Linked DNA regions of Rhinolophus ferrumequinum. The protein of the gene in region 1 interacts with the protein of each later gene in a biochemical or structural test. Links are inferred from orthologs where the notes say so. Each region holds a gene or a part of one and is shown on either strand. Other genes may lie near its edges. The genes, in order: CFLAR and DEDD2.

The links.
Region 2: the proteins of CFLAR (region 1) and DEDD2 form a complex in vitro, tested with the Homo sapiens proteins (2 studies listed by BioGRID). The link is inferred for Rhinolophus ferrumequinum from reciprocal best matches to the Homo sapiens genes CFLAR and DEDD2.

Annotation. Positions count from the first base shown.
Region 1 is NC_046291.1:30,189,199-30,197,120, forward strand, and holds the start of CFLAR (CASP8 and FADD-like apoptosis regulator), read right to left. Parts: upstream 3,235-7,922; 5' UTR 2,817-3,234; intron 1,843-2,816; exon of another isoform or gene 1,260-1,842; intron 1,097-1,259; exon of another isoform or gene 1,025-1,096; intron 950-1,024; exon of another isoform or gene 797-949; intron 190-796; 5' UTR 152-189; intron 1-151. UniProt on the Homo sapiens protein: Apoptosis regulator protein which may function as a crucial link between cell survival and cell death pathways in mammalian cells. Acts as an inhibitor of TNFRSF6 mediated apoptosis.
Region 2 is NC_046298.1:40,129,912-40,138,118, reverse strand, and holds the start of DEDD2 (DNA-binding death effector domain-containing protein 2), read left to right. Parts: upstream 1-5,201; 5' UTR 5,202-5,634; intron 5,635-6,358; exon of another isoform or gene 6,359-6,517; intron 6,518-7,116; exon of another isoform or gene 7,117-7,126; 5' UTR 7,127-7,164; coding exon 7,165-7,492; intron 7,493-8,207. Other genes in the region: ZNF526 (zinc finger protein 526), read right to left, coding at 640-2,667. UniProt on the Homo sapiens protein: May play a critical role in death receptor-induced apoptosis and may target CASP8 and CASP10 to the nucleus. May regulate degradation of intermediate filaments during apoptosis.

The DNA.
Region 1 (7,922 bases):
TACTTTGAATGTATTTTAACTCCGATAATTATAATACAATTTGAAAAGTTTTTGAAGAAAAAGTATGCCAATACAGTGTGTTAAGTGCAATCCTATGGTAAGTGCAAAAATAGCCACTGAGTATATGCAAGCATAGAGTAAAGGAACCCACCGTGAATTGTGAAGTCTTCCTAGAGAAGGTGACAGGAGCTGAATGTAAATGAAATAGGGCATATCAATAATAAGTGTTTCTTGCCTCACTGATTTATAGTAAAGAAAGCAAGGACCAAGTGACAGTACACGTTGACAGCTCTGTGACCTGCCATTATTTCCCCAGTCTGGCCCAACTGGTTTCTTCCTTCCCGTTCCAGTCTGTCCGTGGCAAGTTATCTGCGTAGGTCTCCCCAACCACTCTGTGAGCTTCCAGCAGGCGCAAGGAACCAAGTTCAGATCTATGCCTGTGTTCTCACACCCAGAACTCTGCCTGACCCAGAGAAGCTAAATAAATATTGGTAGGATTATCTTGAATTAAAGAAAAGGAGGCATTTCAGTACATAATGCGAGTTTAATTAGCTTTTGGGGCCCTACAAGGAACAAATAACCAAATGGAGTCCAATCCGAAAAATTTAAAAAGCTACACGCCAGGTTACTAGGAGCGCTGTGGATGAGTCCCTATGAGAGTCAAGGAAGCGCCAAAGGGCTAAAAGAGAGAGACTCAATCCTTTTATACCGGGGGACAATGCCCCGACAGCCCCGGAGTTCAGGGTGACGTCAGCACAAGAAGAAGAGGAGTAAACAAGGTTCTAGGTCTACTCACGCCGGGGCAGCTGCCGGCTCTTCCAGCTGGATCTCCACCTGCAAAGGCGCCCCACCGATGCGGGATACGATCAGACCCACCACTCCGAAAAACCGGAGTTGGAAATTCTCCAAACAGGACAAGGAACTGAACGTAGCGTCAGAGGCTGGTTTGCAGGGAGGCGTCCCGAAGCCTCTTAGGGCAGAGTTCCAATACTAAAAGCCTCCTCCAGGGACGCGCTGCTCACCTGACACTTCAGGTTTGAGAACCCTCCGCCCGTACCTTAAAAACTTCATCAGTGCACACACTCTTGTGTCTTCGGTGAGTAAACGCCCTTGGACGGGCAAGGGAGCTACGTGTAGCTCCAGGAAATTCCCTGCAGCGGGCGGTAACTGAGTGGGCGCTGCTTGCCCCACTACCTCACAGAGCGAGTGCATGACCGGTGGGCGTCCTAGTAACAAAAACACCTTCGTTTTGTTTCCAGTACTTACCGCCACCGCTATTAATAAACAACAACACACTACCCGCGACTATCCTCCCAACGCCCCCAGTCGCACAAGACTCCCAAGGGGGCAGAAGACAAGGGGCACCCAGTTCCTGCAGACCTGCCGGTGGATCCACCTAAGAAAGCGGGTGAAAAGTAGGGAGTAAAGATAGTTAAAGGAAGTGCAAATGTCAGTTACAAACAAAATGTAAAACACAGTCGTTAGAAAAAGCCATTTTAATCAGGACCTCCAACCCAGAAGCTGTAAGTAAAACAAGGGTTAAAATAAAAAAACGTCTGTTGGCCACATTCAATATTCCCTTCCAAGCTCGAGTCTTTTGTTTTGTTTTGTTGGAGTTGAGCCAAGTTTTTTTTGCTCCTCCTCTCAACGAGACTTTTTTGGTAAGATTAGAGGAACCACAAATCGGAAAATACCAAAAGTTCTGTTCCTCTTATCTGAATCTCTTACCGGAAGGGCCCAAACTGACTTCACTATCCATCCGGGTTTGTCTGTGTTCAAATACTTCAAGTATGCTATCACCTTACTGGCACCACCTCTCGGTTGCGTAAACAAGTTTAAAATGTCAACAAATAAAAACATTCGCCAGACCTTCAACGTCCTTGAACTTCTTGTTGCCTTGAACCAAAAACTTGGTCTGAATTTCAATGCCCTTTGTTCTATTGCAATCCACTGTTAACATTTTAAAACCCCGTCACCATCCAGCAACATCTTGAAAACACTTTATATTTATTTCCTAGTCCTCTTGGAGGGGAAGAGAGGAGAGTCCGGAACAAGTATTGGGTTTTTTTAAGGCTTTCTATAAATGTATCAGTCAGTCATTCTGACTTTCCCACAGCAAGCTTTCCTTGCAACTTGCCAAAAAATACTATATTAAAATGCTTTGAGGCATATCCCGCCCTACCTACTTCACCAAGCGAGTGAAATGTCCCGCCCGGCGGCTGCCTCTGCCGGGTAAAGGCGAGCGTGCACACACATTGCGCAGGAAAAAGTCCTCTTTTTCATCAACTTTTTAAAAGGAAAACTGCCAAATGTTTTGAACAGTTCACCCCAGGAAGTAACTCTCAAGATGATCTTAAGCAAAGTTTACAGGATGCTCGCGACCTGCCACCGAAGCTTGTTTCTGCTAAGGGTTATTTGGACCGGTGGATCCGGGCGCACCGAGGACCGCACTTGGGATCCGGGCAGCCTCTGACAGCCCTCTTGGGAATCCCGGTGCAAGGAGAGCGGGGCAAGGAGGTGGGTGCGGGGGTGCGTGCGGGGACGGGGGCTCCGCCCCAGCGGGCGCTCGTGGGCAAACCATGTATAAGGAAGCTACTGAACTGAGTCACCTGTCAGAAGACCCACCCCCCCATCCCGGACCCTTGCCGGGGAGCCCCCGCCCAGGGCCAGTTCCCGGAAAGTGCAGGTCGGGGAGCTGCGGCGAGGGACGGGAGAGGCGGCGCTCAGGCCCTGCGGCGACACAGACACGGAAACCTGCAATGAGACCTCTAGGACTGAGGAGGGTCGGAGCGGCGGGATTAAGCGCCTACACGTACCGTCTGGTCCACCGTGGGGCTTTCTTCCTGCAGCGAGCTGCCAGGCTTCGCTGTCCCGGAAGCTTGAGAAACGCAGTAAAAGGTAGGAAAGGAAACCGAAAGCCTGGAAGCGGACGTTGCGCTTACCGACGTGGCCTTGCGCGTGCACTTATCTTCACAACGAAAGTTGGGCGGGCTGACTGCGTTAGGGCCAGAGACCCCTTACTTACCAGCCCCCAATGAGTCCCCTTCAGTTGAAACATTCTCCTAGCCACAGCCAACCCACTGTTTTATCTTTGTATCCTTTGTGATATAAAGATCATAAAATATGCTGTGAACCCAGAATGGTTGTTTAAAGGAGTTCTGATTGTCGTTACGAACAAACACTGTTAGTGTTTTTTACTGATGTATACGAATAATAATAAATAGCAAGTGTGAAAGCTATTTGTGTTTTCATCTATTTATTACTTTGTGATTTTTTTAAAATTTAACTTAACTTGAAATAAATGTAAACTTACAGGAAAGTTGCAAGACTACCAAGAGAGTATTGACCTTGGAGAAGGAACATACCCACCAAGAAGGACTCCTACTGGTTAACTGGGCTCAAATTCATAATCAGTCTAACAGCGAATGCTGGCAGAGAACACTCATGCACTGGTTTCAGAGAAAAACCAAAGGCTGAGCTGCCAGCTTCCTGTACTGTTCCTGTCTTTTGAGACTACCCTTATAAAATCATATTTGGACCAATGGGCTGATACCTGCGCCCTCCAATAGGAACACTACACAGCTATGTCCTCATTTACATCTATACTAACCGATCAGAGTGGTTTCATAACAACCAATCAGAACACACGACCAGTGCTATTTGGACCAGTCAGACTCCAAATTTGGATTCATTTGCACTGTCTCTTTAAAAGGCAGGCCTCCCCGTCCCAGGGGAGTGCATTTACCCTTCTTCTGAGCACTGCATCTGCACAGTTTGCAAACTGTTAACTTGAATAGTGTCCTTTTTCCGCCCTCCAGATTGGGAACTCCTGTTGGTATTAGATTGCTGGCAGCTAGCTTATATCGTATCATATCTGGTCTTACATTATAGTAAAATAAGACCAGGTCTTATATTAATTTTTGCTCCAAAAGACGCGTTAGAGCTGATGGTCCGGCTAGGTCTTATTTTCAGGGAAACACGGTAACATATCTTTCCACCTGTTGCTCCAAAGCCCTAGTTCAGTGATTGTGCCTGGGGGGAAAAGCACTCCATAAAACAGATAGGTCTTAAACTCTTCCCAAAGGAACTGACTTTATTTGCAACACAACATGTTGAAATTCAAGCCAAAGGTTATTCTCGAAAACCTGGAGTTTGTGATGATAAGCAATTGGGAGGAGTTTCAAGGTGTGGGTTAAATTGTAACCTAGCTAGTTTGCAATGGAGAGCTAGAGATAAAGACAGGGAAAGCCCTCCTGGAATAAGAACAAACATTAAACACCTCATAAACTATTGTTTCAAAGGGCCACAATTTGGTTGGATTCATTTGTAGAGCAAATTATGCCAGAACATTATCGAAAATAACAGAGCAATCAGGGAGCATTTGAGATCTTGCTCCCTGGCATATGTCATCAGTTTGGCTTAACTAAACTTTTATAAAAATTTTCTAAGAAAAAAAATAGTAGAGCAATCAGTCAGCAAATGTGGAGTCTTAACAGCTGGGTGTGGTCGGGAAATAAAAGGAAGAGAGCTCCACCCAAAAACCACTGTAATAACAGGATAACAATATCAGAAATTTAACAGGAGTGGGGATAGACTTCACTAAAGTAATTTAGCAAATAAACAAGCAAAAAACAACAAAGTGAGGCTTGGGGAATGGGAGGAAACAAGTACCTAGAGTTGCTACAATATATTATCTAAAATGTTCAGTATTCAACAAAAAGTTACAAGGCATGCAAGTAAACAGGAAACCCATACACTGGAAAAATAGCAGGCAACAGAAACTGCTTGTGAGAGCAACCGGATGTTGGACTTATCAGAAAAAGAATTCATAGTAGTTGTTATAAACATGTTCACAGAACTAAAGAAAAGCATGATTAAAGAAGAAACAGAAGGTCTGATAACGTCACATCAAATAGAGAATATCAATAAAAAATATTAAGAACCTAGAGCAGGCATGTGACTGAGAAATTATAAAAATGAACCAAATAGAAATTCTCGAGTTGAAAAGTACAATAACTGAAATAAATTCATTAGGAACTCATCAATAGACTTGAAATGGCAGGAGAAAAATAAGCTAACTTTAAGATAGAGATTATGCAGGCCAAAGAACAGAGAAAAATGAAGAAAGCCTCAGAGAAATGTGGGACACCATGAAGCACACCAACATGTACATAATGAGAGTGTCAGAAGGAGAAGAGCATGAAAATGCAGCAGAAAAAATATTCAAAGACATAATGGCTAAAAACTTCTAAAATTTATTGAAAAACAGTAAATTACACATCCAAGAAGTTTCACAAATTCCAAATAAACTAAATGCAAAGAGATCTACAGACACATTATAGTAAAAATGCTGAAAGTCAAAGACAAGGAAGAAATCTTAAAAGCAGCAAGAGAAAAACAACTTATTACTTTAAGTGAATAGCAATAAGATTAATAGCTGACTTCTCAGCAAAATCAATATAGAGGTCAGAAAGCAATGAGATAACATATTCAAAGTGCTCGAAGAAAAAAAAAATTTTCAACCAAGCAAAACAAATTTATGAAAATAAGATTTGTGAAATACTTTCCCAAATAAACAAAAACTGAAATAATTTGTGCTAATATAGCTACCTTGTAAGAAATACTAAAGGAAATTCTTCAAGCTGAAAGCAAATAACCCCAGACAATAAATCAAATGCTCACCAAAAAAAAGGGCAACAGAAAAGGTAATTCTACAATTACAAGACAGTATAAATGAATATTTTTCTCTTATTCTTAACTGATTTAAAAAGCAATTGTATAAAATGATATAATATATTTTTGTGCCTATAACATATAGAAATTAATATATGTGAAATATATTTCCCAACACAAAACAGGTGGGTGGGAGCAAAGTTAAATGACTATAGCTGGCAAAGTAATAATTACAACAATCTATTGTTCGGTGTGTAACATGCATTAATGTAATATATATACAAAATACCACAAATGGGGGGAAAAGGGAATAGAGCCATCTAGGAGTAATATTTCCTTGTACTACTGGAACTGGCTAGTATAAATCTGAAGTTGCTTCTGATAAGTTAAGATGTATATGGTAAACCCTAGAGCAATTATTAAAATAATAACTCAAAAATATATAGTAAAAAATATTAAAGAAATTAAGATGATACCTTAGAAAATATTCGCTTAATGTAAAAGAAAACTTTTAATGTAGAGAAAAACACATAAGACATATAGAAAAATGTAAAATGGCACATGCAAGTCCAACTATATCAACAATCTTAAATGAAAATGAGCTAAATAATCCAATGAAAAGGGAAACTTGTTCGACTGGATTTAAAAAAAACAAAAACCTATGATCCAATTATAACTGCCTACAGGAGACACTTTCAATTCAGAGATACAAAGGGATTGAAAATAAAAATATGCAAAAAGATATAACATGCAAACAGCAACAACAAGAGAGATGGAGTGGCCATATTGATATCAGGCAGCATAGAATTTAAAACAAAAAATATTACTAGAGGTACAGAGGGACATCTTATTACAATAAAAGTGTCGATCCATCAGATAAATATAATCATTATAAACATACAAGAATTTAATAACAAAACATCAAAATACATGAAGCAAAGCTGGGAGAAATAAAGGGGAAATTATTTTCACAATAATAGCTGGAAACTTAGACACTCCATTTTCAATAATGGATAGAACAACTAAACAATCCACAAAGAAACAGAATGCTTGAGCAACACTATAAAACAACTAGACCTAACTCACAGCTGTAGAATGCTCCACACAACAGAATATACATTATCAATTATACATGAATATACACAGTGAAGTGCACAATGGAACATTCTCCAAGATAGACCAACTGGTAGGCCATAAAACAAACCTCAATAAATTTAAAGGGATAAAAACAATGTAAAGTATGTTCTCTGACTACAACAGAATTAAATAGAAGTCAATAACAGGAAAGATTGGTAAAACTCACAAATATGTGGAAATAAAACAACACACTCCTAAGTAACCACTGTGTCAAAGAAGTCATAAGAAAAACCTGAAAATACTTTGAGATGAATGAAAATCAAGTGCAACATACCAAAACTTATGGGGTGCAACTAGAGCACTGCGTAGAAAGAAATTTATAACTATAAATGCCTCTACTAAGCAAAAAGAAGAATCTCAAATTGATAACCTAATCTTCCACCTTAAGTAAGACACTAGAAAAAGAACAAACTAAACTTAAAGCAAGCAGAAGGAAAGAAATAATAAAGATTTAAAGTAGAAATTAATAAAATATAGAATAGAAAAACAATAGGGAAAGTCAATTAAACCTAAAGCCAATTTTTTTGAAAAGGTGAACAAAATTGACAAATCTTTAGCTAGATTGACCAAGGAGGAGAAAAAGACTCAAATTACTGAATCAGAAATGAAAGAGGGGATATTACTACTGATCCTACAGAATAAAAAGGCTTATAAAGGAACACTATGAATAATTGTACACCAACAATTTAAATAACCTAGATGAAATGGACCAATCCCTAGAGAGACACTAACTACCAAAACTGACTCAAGAATAAATAGACAATACGAACGATCTATGAAAAGTGAAAAGATTGCATAAGTTATTGAAAATCTACCCAAAAATAAAGCCCAGACCTAGACAGATTAACTTGTGAATTCTACAAAACATTTAAGGAAAATTAAATCTAATTCTTCATAAACTCTTCCAAATAACAGAAGAGGAGTGTATTAGTTTGCTAGGGTTGCCATAACAAAATACCATAGACTAGGTAGCTTAAACAACAGAAACTTATTTCTCACAGTTGTGGAGGCTAGAAGTCCAAAATCAAGATGTTGGCAAGTTTGGTTTCTTCTGAGGCCTCTTTCCTTGGCTTGCAAATGACAGCCTTCTGTGTCTTCTCATGTTCTTTCCT
Region 2 (8,207 bases), on another chromosome or scaffold:
CTGAGAATCAGTGAGACACGCTCAGAGAGCAAGGCCCTCTGTATTGGGGCGTGTTACGGCTATTCCACCGCGGGCCCCCTGGGCAGGTCTGGCCCCCGTGCCTGGCTCATTCCTGGGGCTCAGCGTGACCCAGTCTGCAGCCGAGCACCTGGGCACTTACAACTTTCCTCTCACATTGTCAAAAGTGAGATGAAGGGAGCCCAGAGCAGTCAAGTGTCTTCCTCCACTAGGCAGAGCCGAGTCCAGGGAAGGCTAGGGCAGGGGGGACAAGCAGAGGACCTGAAGAGGTATGTAACAGTGCCCAGCACAGACCTGGCAAGTGGCCGGGGCTCAGGAAAGGTTCCCTGAGCTTGCTGGGTAGCAGGGTGATGCAGAGCAAACAGCCTTGGCAAACCTGCTTTGCAATGTAGTGGGGTTACCTGGGACAGATCTTGTCTCAGAGCTTCAGTTTCCCCTCAGGCAGAGAAAGGTGACAAGAGAAACCTGGCAGGCTGTGGAGGAGTCAGCGGGTAAGGCCAGGGTACATCCTGGTACCTGGTGGGCACCAGAGTGGCTTGCCAGGGTGTAGTCCCATTTCTCCCTACAGGTGACCACACTTGCTGCTGCAACCAAACTCTTTTATTGCTGCTCTTAGCTGTGTCACATGAAGGCCGTGTCCAACTGCAACAGCCCGCTGGCTTCACTGGCCCCCAGTGCTGCCTGGCACAGCTGCAGCGTGTCCTCAAGGGCCAGTGGCTGGGACGTCTCGATGATGGCGATGGTCTCCCCAAGCTCGGTGCACATGATAGTCTGCTGAGGCTCCGGGGGCGGGGGCGGGGCGGGAGGCGGTGATCTGGGTTGCAGTGTCATCGTACGAGCTCGCGCATGGACCCGCTGATGCAGTCGCAGACCAGCCATGGCGCGGAACCAGCGGCCGCAGGTCCCGCAGTAGTAGGGGCTCTTGTTGTAGAGACCGGTGATGGGGAGGCGGGGCGCGCGGGCGAAGGCCACCGGCCGCAGGTGCAGCCTCCGGTGCTGCTGCAGGTTGGAGCTCTGCGTGAAGCGCTTGCCACAGTCCAGGCACTGGTAGGGACGCACGCCCGTGTGGGTCAGCTGGTGGCGGCTGAGGTTGGCCAGAGAAGCAAAGGTCTTGCCACAGGAGTGGCACTGGAAGGGCCTCTCGCCCGTGTGCGTCCGCAAGTGGTTGTGCACGTGGACCAGCTTCTTGAAGCCCTTGCCACAAACCCCGCAGCAGTGTCGCCGCTCGGGGGGTCCATGCACTGTGCGTCGGTGCCGGGAGAGGCGCGAGGTGGAGGAGAAGGATTTGGAGCACTGTGGGCAGGGCAGCTGGGTGGGCGGGGCGGGGGGCGGGGGCGGGGGTGGAGGCTCGGCACCAGCCGGGGAGGCCCCTGCTGTGGTGGGGGGCGCCCCGCTCTTGCCTGCGTGGGTACGCCGGTGGTAGAGGAACTTGGTCATGTTGCTGAATGTCTTGCCGCAGCGGCAGCGATGCAGTGGGTTGCTGGTGTGGGCCCGCCGGTGCGCCACCAGCGTGAGTTCTGTGCTGAAGCCGCGACCACAGTCCACGCAGAGGTAGCGGGCTTCGCCACGGTGCAGCCGCAGATGCTGCTCCAGTGAGGCTGCTTTTTTGAAGACCTTGAAGCAGGTTGGACATTCGTGGGTGCCACCGACGTGTGCCCGCCCGTGAGCCAGCAGCCGGTTTGCGGAGCTGAAGCTGCGCTGGCACTGGCTGCAGCGGAAGGGGTGGGTGGTTGACGCGGAGGCTCGGGATGCCAACCGGTGTCTGCGGCGCGCCCCTGCCGAGGCCCAGTGCTGGGGATAATCCTCACAGCCCTGGGCCCAGCCAGCTGCGGTCTTGCCGCCTCCCACACTATCGCCACCAAGCTCTGCAGGCCCTGCTGCCTCCTCTTCCTCCTCCGTCTCTTCATCCTCTTCTTCACCCTCCTCACACCCCTCCTCCTCCTCCAGCCCATTCCGTTCCTCTTTCTCTAGGGAGTCAAAGTGGGTGCCTTGATGTTCCAAGAACTCCTCAGGGGTGGCACAGAGGGTGCAGCACTCAGGACACTCGTAGGGCTCCATCTGGACTTCCGGTGGAGCAGGGGGTGGAGGTGGTGGTGTTGGGGGAGGCAGAGGGGGTGGCACTGGCGCTTCGGCTGCTGCAGTGGAAAGGTGCTGGGCCTTTCGATGAGCTACCCACAGTTCTGGTGAGGGGAACAGCTCCTGGCAGTCCCCACACTGGTACTGGATCTGGCTTGCAGACTCCCGGAGGTGGGCGTCCTGGTGGGCCAGGAGCTCACCATGGGAGAGGATGAGCTGGCTGCACTCACCACACTGGAAGGGCCCATCCGCAGCACCTGGCACTAGCTCTGGCTCCAGGCCAGCATCCGGGGTGGTCAGCGCCTCCTCCTCGGTGACAGTGGGCACGTGCTGCTCCTGGTGTGAGATGACTTCCTCCAGTGTGTTATAGAGGCTGCCACACTCAGAGCACATGAACTGGTGGTGCTGGAAGAAGAGGGATGAGGCAAGGGCCTCCCCAGCCTTCATCTCAGTCACCTCTGTTGACATCTCCATCATTTCCCCAAAGACCGGTATAGACATCTCCATTGCCCCTGGGGACATCTGTGTGGCCATCTCGGCCATCTCAGCCACCTCAGCCACCACCTCTGCCATGGTGGGGAAGGCAGTGCCTGGAGAAAGAAGGGAGCTGGTGAGACACCAGGAATCCAAGAGAGGGAGGATGTCTCAGGAGTTTCCTTGCCATCATGTCACTCACCAGCCTTTATCAGTCAGCGAGTCTGGATCCAGTGTTTATGTCTCAGTCTTCAATGAACCTGTGACTCTGAAGCTGACACATGCCCCAAGGTGGCCAGGCATCTGCAGGAGAGAGACAACCCTCCTCAGTCTGGCCTCTGATACTGCCCTTCTTACCCAGAGGGCCAGTCACACCCTTTCTGAGAACACACGTATTTTGGGGCCTCTTGGCTTTTGCCCGCAGTGCCCTCTCCGTGCAGCACCTTTCCTCCTTCTACACGGAGACACGGAGGTGCAGTAAAGCAAAGTGATTAAGAGCTGAGGTCCTGGAACCAGACTGCCCTTGGCCTGAATCTGAGGTCCATCACTTACTTCCTCTCTCTGGGACGGTTTTCTCACTTGTGAAATGGGGCTAAAAGTAGTACTGACCACGAAGTCCCTGGTACTTGATACAGGTTAGACAGTAGCACTTGTAGTTATCCAGAAATGCTTTTGGACCCTACGTCTTTGATGCTGCTATTCCTTCTGCCAAGAAAGTTTCTCCTCTTTTTGTCTAGCAAACTCCTCCCCAGCATTTTCTTTGTGAAACCTTTTCTGACAACATGTCTACATCCTCAGGCTAGTGGCCACTCCCTTCTCCTTGGAGTTCCTATGGTATCCTGTGCCACCTCTATCATAGCCCTTATCGTGAACTTGGGATGAAGTCTCTGTGCTCCTCACTGAGCTTGTAGTCAAGACAGATTCGTTGTAGGGGCTGCTGTCACCAACAAAACCACTGACCAGTGTCAAGGATTTTAACTTTTGAACTTTTCTCTATGTGCCCCATCTGCCCTTCTGGATGTGTGGGCTCAACCCAACCTAGGACTCTTCACATAGCAGGGACTCAAGGTCCCTTTGGCAAATGACTACCTCCCTCACAGGCCTAGGAGCTAATTTTCCGAATTCAGTCTCCACCTTCTCTCTCTCTTCTTCAACTCATCTGCTAGTGCCAGAAGGCAGGTGGAGTTCAGCCTGACACACAAAAGTTGCTCATGGTAAACTCCCAGAGGTCAGGGATTTTAGTCTGTTCGTCACTGATATATTTCTAGTACCAAGAACAATGCTTAGCACACAGCAGGCACTGAGTAGATATTTAGGGAATGGATAATGCTCCCTCAGGAAGTGAGTCCCTGGGAGTTTAAATGTTCCTGTGCTCATTCCACTTCTCCCAGCAGACCAACTCTCCTATTTGAGCATGAACTCCCACAGTAACTATCCAGCACAGGGCCGTACTTTCAGTTGGTGCCCAATAAATGCTCCTTGAGTAAATGATTCACTAAAAGCCCAGAACTAAACTTTCCTTAACTCCTTCACTAATTTTTGAGTTGCCAGGGCCCTGCACACAATAGCCATTCAATAAAGCATCTTCCTGGAAGTAGTGAACCAGGTGCCTGAGAGTTTAATTTTTCCTTGTTTACAGCCCCACTCCAAACAGGGAATTCCTCTAGGACGCAGGTAAATGTGTGGTGTAAGGCTTACACAAAGTAGGCACTCAGTAAATGTCCCTCTCGAAGGTGTCCCGACAGACCTAACATTTGAACTTTCCTCGTTTACATTACCTCCTTACCAATCTTGGATTGTGAAGTTTTGGGGGCTAGGAATGGGGGCTTTCAATACAGCAGATCAGTAAGTCCTTCCAGGAAAGAACCCACCAGGGGCCTGGAAGTTCAACTTTCCCGCTATACAGCGACACATCCCTTTTCTCTGGCCAGACATATCAACTCCACAACCTAAGAGCTCCCTGCGAGGAGTGGGGAGCCGGCGAGCTCAAGCGTAGGGTCCTGCACACCGCGGGAGCTCAATCAATGCTCCAGGGCATTTAGGAAGAAGCGCTCTCCTTCCACTCCGCGCCGCTCCCGCCCTAGCGCAGGCCCCAGTCCTCTTCAACCCCCGGTGTCCCCTTCGTTCTCCCTCCACCCTCTCCGTACGCCCAGCGCTGCCTTCCCGCGGCGCCCTCACCAGTCTCTCTCGTCTCCTGCAGCCCCCGTCGCTCTTGACACAGACCCTCTGCTCCTGGCGTGCGGGACCCCTCACTATCCACACCTCCCATTGGGCGGCGCCCTTACTCGTGGCGACCAATCGGAGCCGGCAGCGTAGGGCACGCGCCCTTGAGCCTGCGTGTTGAAGCTCAGGCGGGGCTAGGCGAGTTTCTCCACGCACGCAACTGTGCCCTGTGGGCTGGGCTCGCGGCTCCGAGGAGCGCTTGCGCAGTTCTCCCGAGCCGTTCCTCTGCTAAGTCTGAAAGTTAAGTGGAGAGAAATGGGCACCATTGGAAAGCAAGGGCCCATGGAGTGGCCTGGGCGGCGGGAGACCTTGATCAGAGGTGTCATTTCATAGCTGAAGAGACTGAGCATCTCCGAGAGCACAGCTTTGGAGCCAGACACAATTGGGGTAATTCCCCTCTCTCGGCCTTTTATTCCTGTGTAAAATGGGCTGGAATCATGTGCAAGGCTGTTGATGGAATTGGATGAAATCAAACACATAAAAACGCTCAGCGCAGGGCCTGATACATCGTGGGTGCTCACTATAACTCATTTAACATTGACGTAGTCCTTCCCAGTTTGCTTTCCCTTCCCTCCCACTCTTCGGTTGATTTAATGATATTAGCTGATTGGGTACCCACTGTGTGTTCGACCCAGGACTGGGCTTCAATAGGTTACAGTTGCCATCAAAGAGGGGAAGGGACTCTTCCAAGGTCCCTGCTGCAGCCCAAGCAGAGCCAGTGCTGAACCAGTGCCAGGCAGTACCTAGGTCTCCCGCCTCCGAAGGGGAAATAATTCCGGAAGTGGGAACCAGTCCAGGAGGGGACTTGTCTCAAGGCACGTGCGGGCCCTGACCTTGACTCACGTAAGTTGGGAGCGGGGTGGCCACCACACCCCAGGCTCCCCCATGCAGCCTGAACACCAGTTGCAGGTTAGAGATGGGGGTATTGGGAGATCCCATGACCTTGGAGGGCAGAGACTCGGAGGAGTTATGGGGGGGGGGGAGTTGGGTTCATGATGGATGCTGGAGGGGCCTACTGACATCTGGGAGGAGACATTGGTTCCTAACATGAGGTGAGGGAGTCCTTGTCTTGCTCAGAAGGATCTTATAGATGGCGGGGGGGGGGGGGGGGGGGGGAGGGAGGGCGTCTGTTGGACAAGGAGGGATTCTAGTCGGGATCATGAGATAGTACAGCTGGGTTGCGGGTTCCTGGTTGCCATTAGGAGTAAGGAGCAGTCTAATGGAAGGGCGTCCGAGTCCCGATCAAAAGAACCTGGGCACTACTCTGAGCCAGGACCGTCATGATTGTGGTCCTTTGCCAGGGGCTGGGGGCAGTGGTAATGTAGGCGTCTATGTCGTCTTTAAGAGGGAGCTGTAGTCCATGAGATGAGTCGTTCCGAAAGGTCGTGACGTGGGGCAACAAGGACCCGGCGGTTTGCGTCACGAACCGGCAGAAACAGCCCTGCAACCGTGTACCAAATTCAACTCAGACGCGGAACAACACACGCTTTGCGCAGGCGCAGCGCAGGCCGACCCAGACGCTACCGTTGAGGGCGGGCCTGGAGGGGTGGGGCTTGAAAGCCTCTCTCTGCGCTTGCGCCTAAGGGGCGTGGCGGTCGCACCTGCGCGAGTTGGAGGAAGGAAGGAGGGGCGAGGTGACGCAGGCGTAATAATAGAGAAGGTGCCAGAAAGATCCAAAACAAGTGGCTGCGGCCGTCGCCCAGGAGTCGTTAGACGCCGGATTCCGGTGAGGATCCAGAGAGGCCTAAGGGCGACTGGTGGCGGGTAGACGGAACCACCTGGGAGCTGGGGAGAGGGCGGTACCACCCTTACAAGGCGAGGGGGTCGGGTTCGGACAGCACCACCTGTATGGAGAGAAGGGCTACTTAGAGTCGGTCCCACTTGTAGGGGGCAGAGGGTCACTTTGGGATGGTACCAATTGGGTGGAGCGATGAGGCTCATCGGACAGTACCACTGGACCGAGCCGAGGGTCACATCCAGACAGTGCTACCCAGAGTCAAAGGGCAGTCGGCAGGGTGCCTCGGGGTGGGCCCGCAGTCTTGTTCAGACCGAATCACTTAGTCGGTTCCGGAGGCTGGTTCGGAACATTCCACCTGGGGAGGGGCTTTCGGACTCGGCAGGATAGACTAATCGGTCTAGTGGGGTCTGGCGTCTCAACCTGTTACTAGGGGACCTAGGGCGATACCATTCCTTTCCGGGGAAGGGGGAGGCTGAGACGACTGAAGTGTGAGGGTGGCCCTGCCCCGCGGGATGGGATCGGGGAGACACACTGGCGGAGAAGGGGCCAGGCCCCCGCGTCGCTGACCTCCCCCCCTCCCCGTTGAGTGGGTTCTAGGCCCTGGTTCGAGCTTGTTCCGCCCCTCTCCCCCGGGTATGGCGCTGTCTGGGTCGACCCCTGCCCCGAGCTGGGAGGAGGATGAGTGCCTGGACTACTACGGGATGCTGTCGCTTCATCGTATGTTCGAGGTCGTGGGCGGGCAGCTGACCGAGTGTGAACTGGAGCTGCTGGCTTTCCTGCTGGACGAGGCTCCCGGCGCCGCTGGCGGCCTGTCCCGCGCTCGTAGCGGCCTGGAGCTGCTGCTGGAGCTGGAGCGTCGCGGGCAGTGCGACGAGAGCAACCTGCGTTTTCTAGGGCAGCTCCTGCGCGTGTTGGCCCGGCACGACTTGCTGCCGCACCTGGCGCGCAAGCGGCGCCGGCCAGGTATGGTTGAATGGAAGGGCGAGAGACTTCGGTGGTTAAAGGGCCTTCTTCCCCATCTGGGCCCCTATGGTGCCCTGATATGGACAGCGCAATATCAGACAGCCTATGTCCCACCCCACTCTCCCCTCCTCACAGAGTAGCAATGAGAAACGCAAGAGGGAGGAGGCATGGCTTTGGGAGGGGCGAGCTGGTGGAATTTGGCCTCATCAATAATAATGTTTGTGACCACTTTATGGAGGGCTTATTTCATGCAAGGCACAGCATAAGCCCTTCATACGAACTATCACTTTGTATTCTGCTGGTAATCCCATGAGGAAGTCCTGTTACTGTCCCACTGTACAGGGAAAACATCAGATGTAGAGAAGTTAAGCAACTTGTCCATATATAAGAACTGAATCCTGTATGACGGCACAGGAGATACAGGGTGACCATCTGACAAAGTATTTGTTCCATGAGGCTTACATTTAGTGGGGGAATCAGACATTAAAACATAAACAATTTACATATGGTTGTAGAAAGACTAAAAAAAAGGTAATGGAATATAGAGGGTAGGGAGCTCCACTAAGTGAAGGGAGGCCCCCTTAGATTGGATAACCAGTCAAGACCTTTCTGAGAATGTGACATTTGAACTGAGGCTGAACTGGTGCCACTGTGCATAGATCTCAGAGGAGAAAAATTCTAGGGAGAGGGAAAGGCAAGCTTTCAAGCCTTGAAG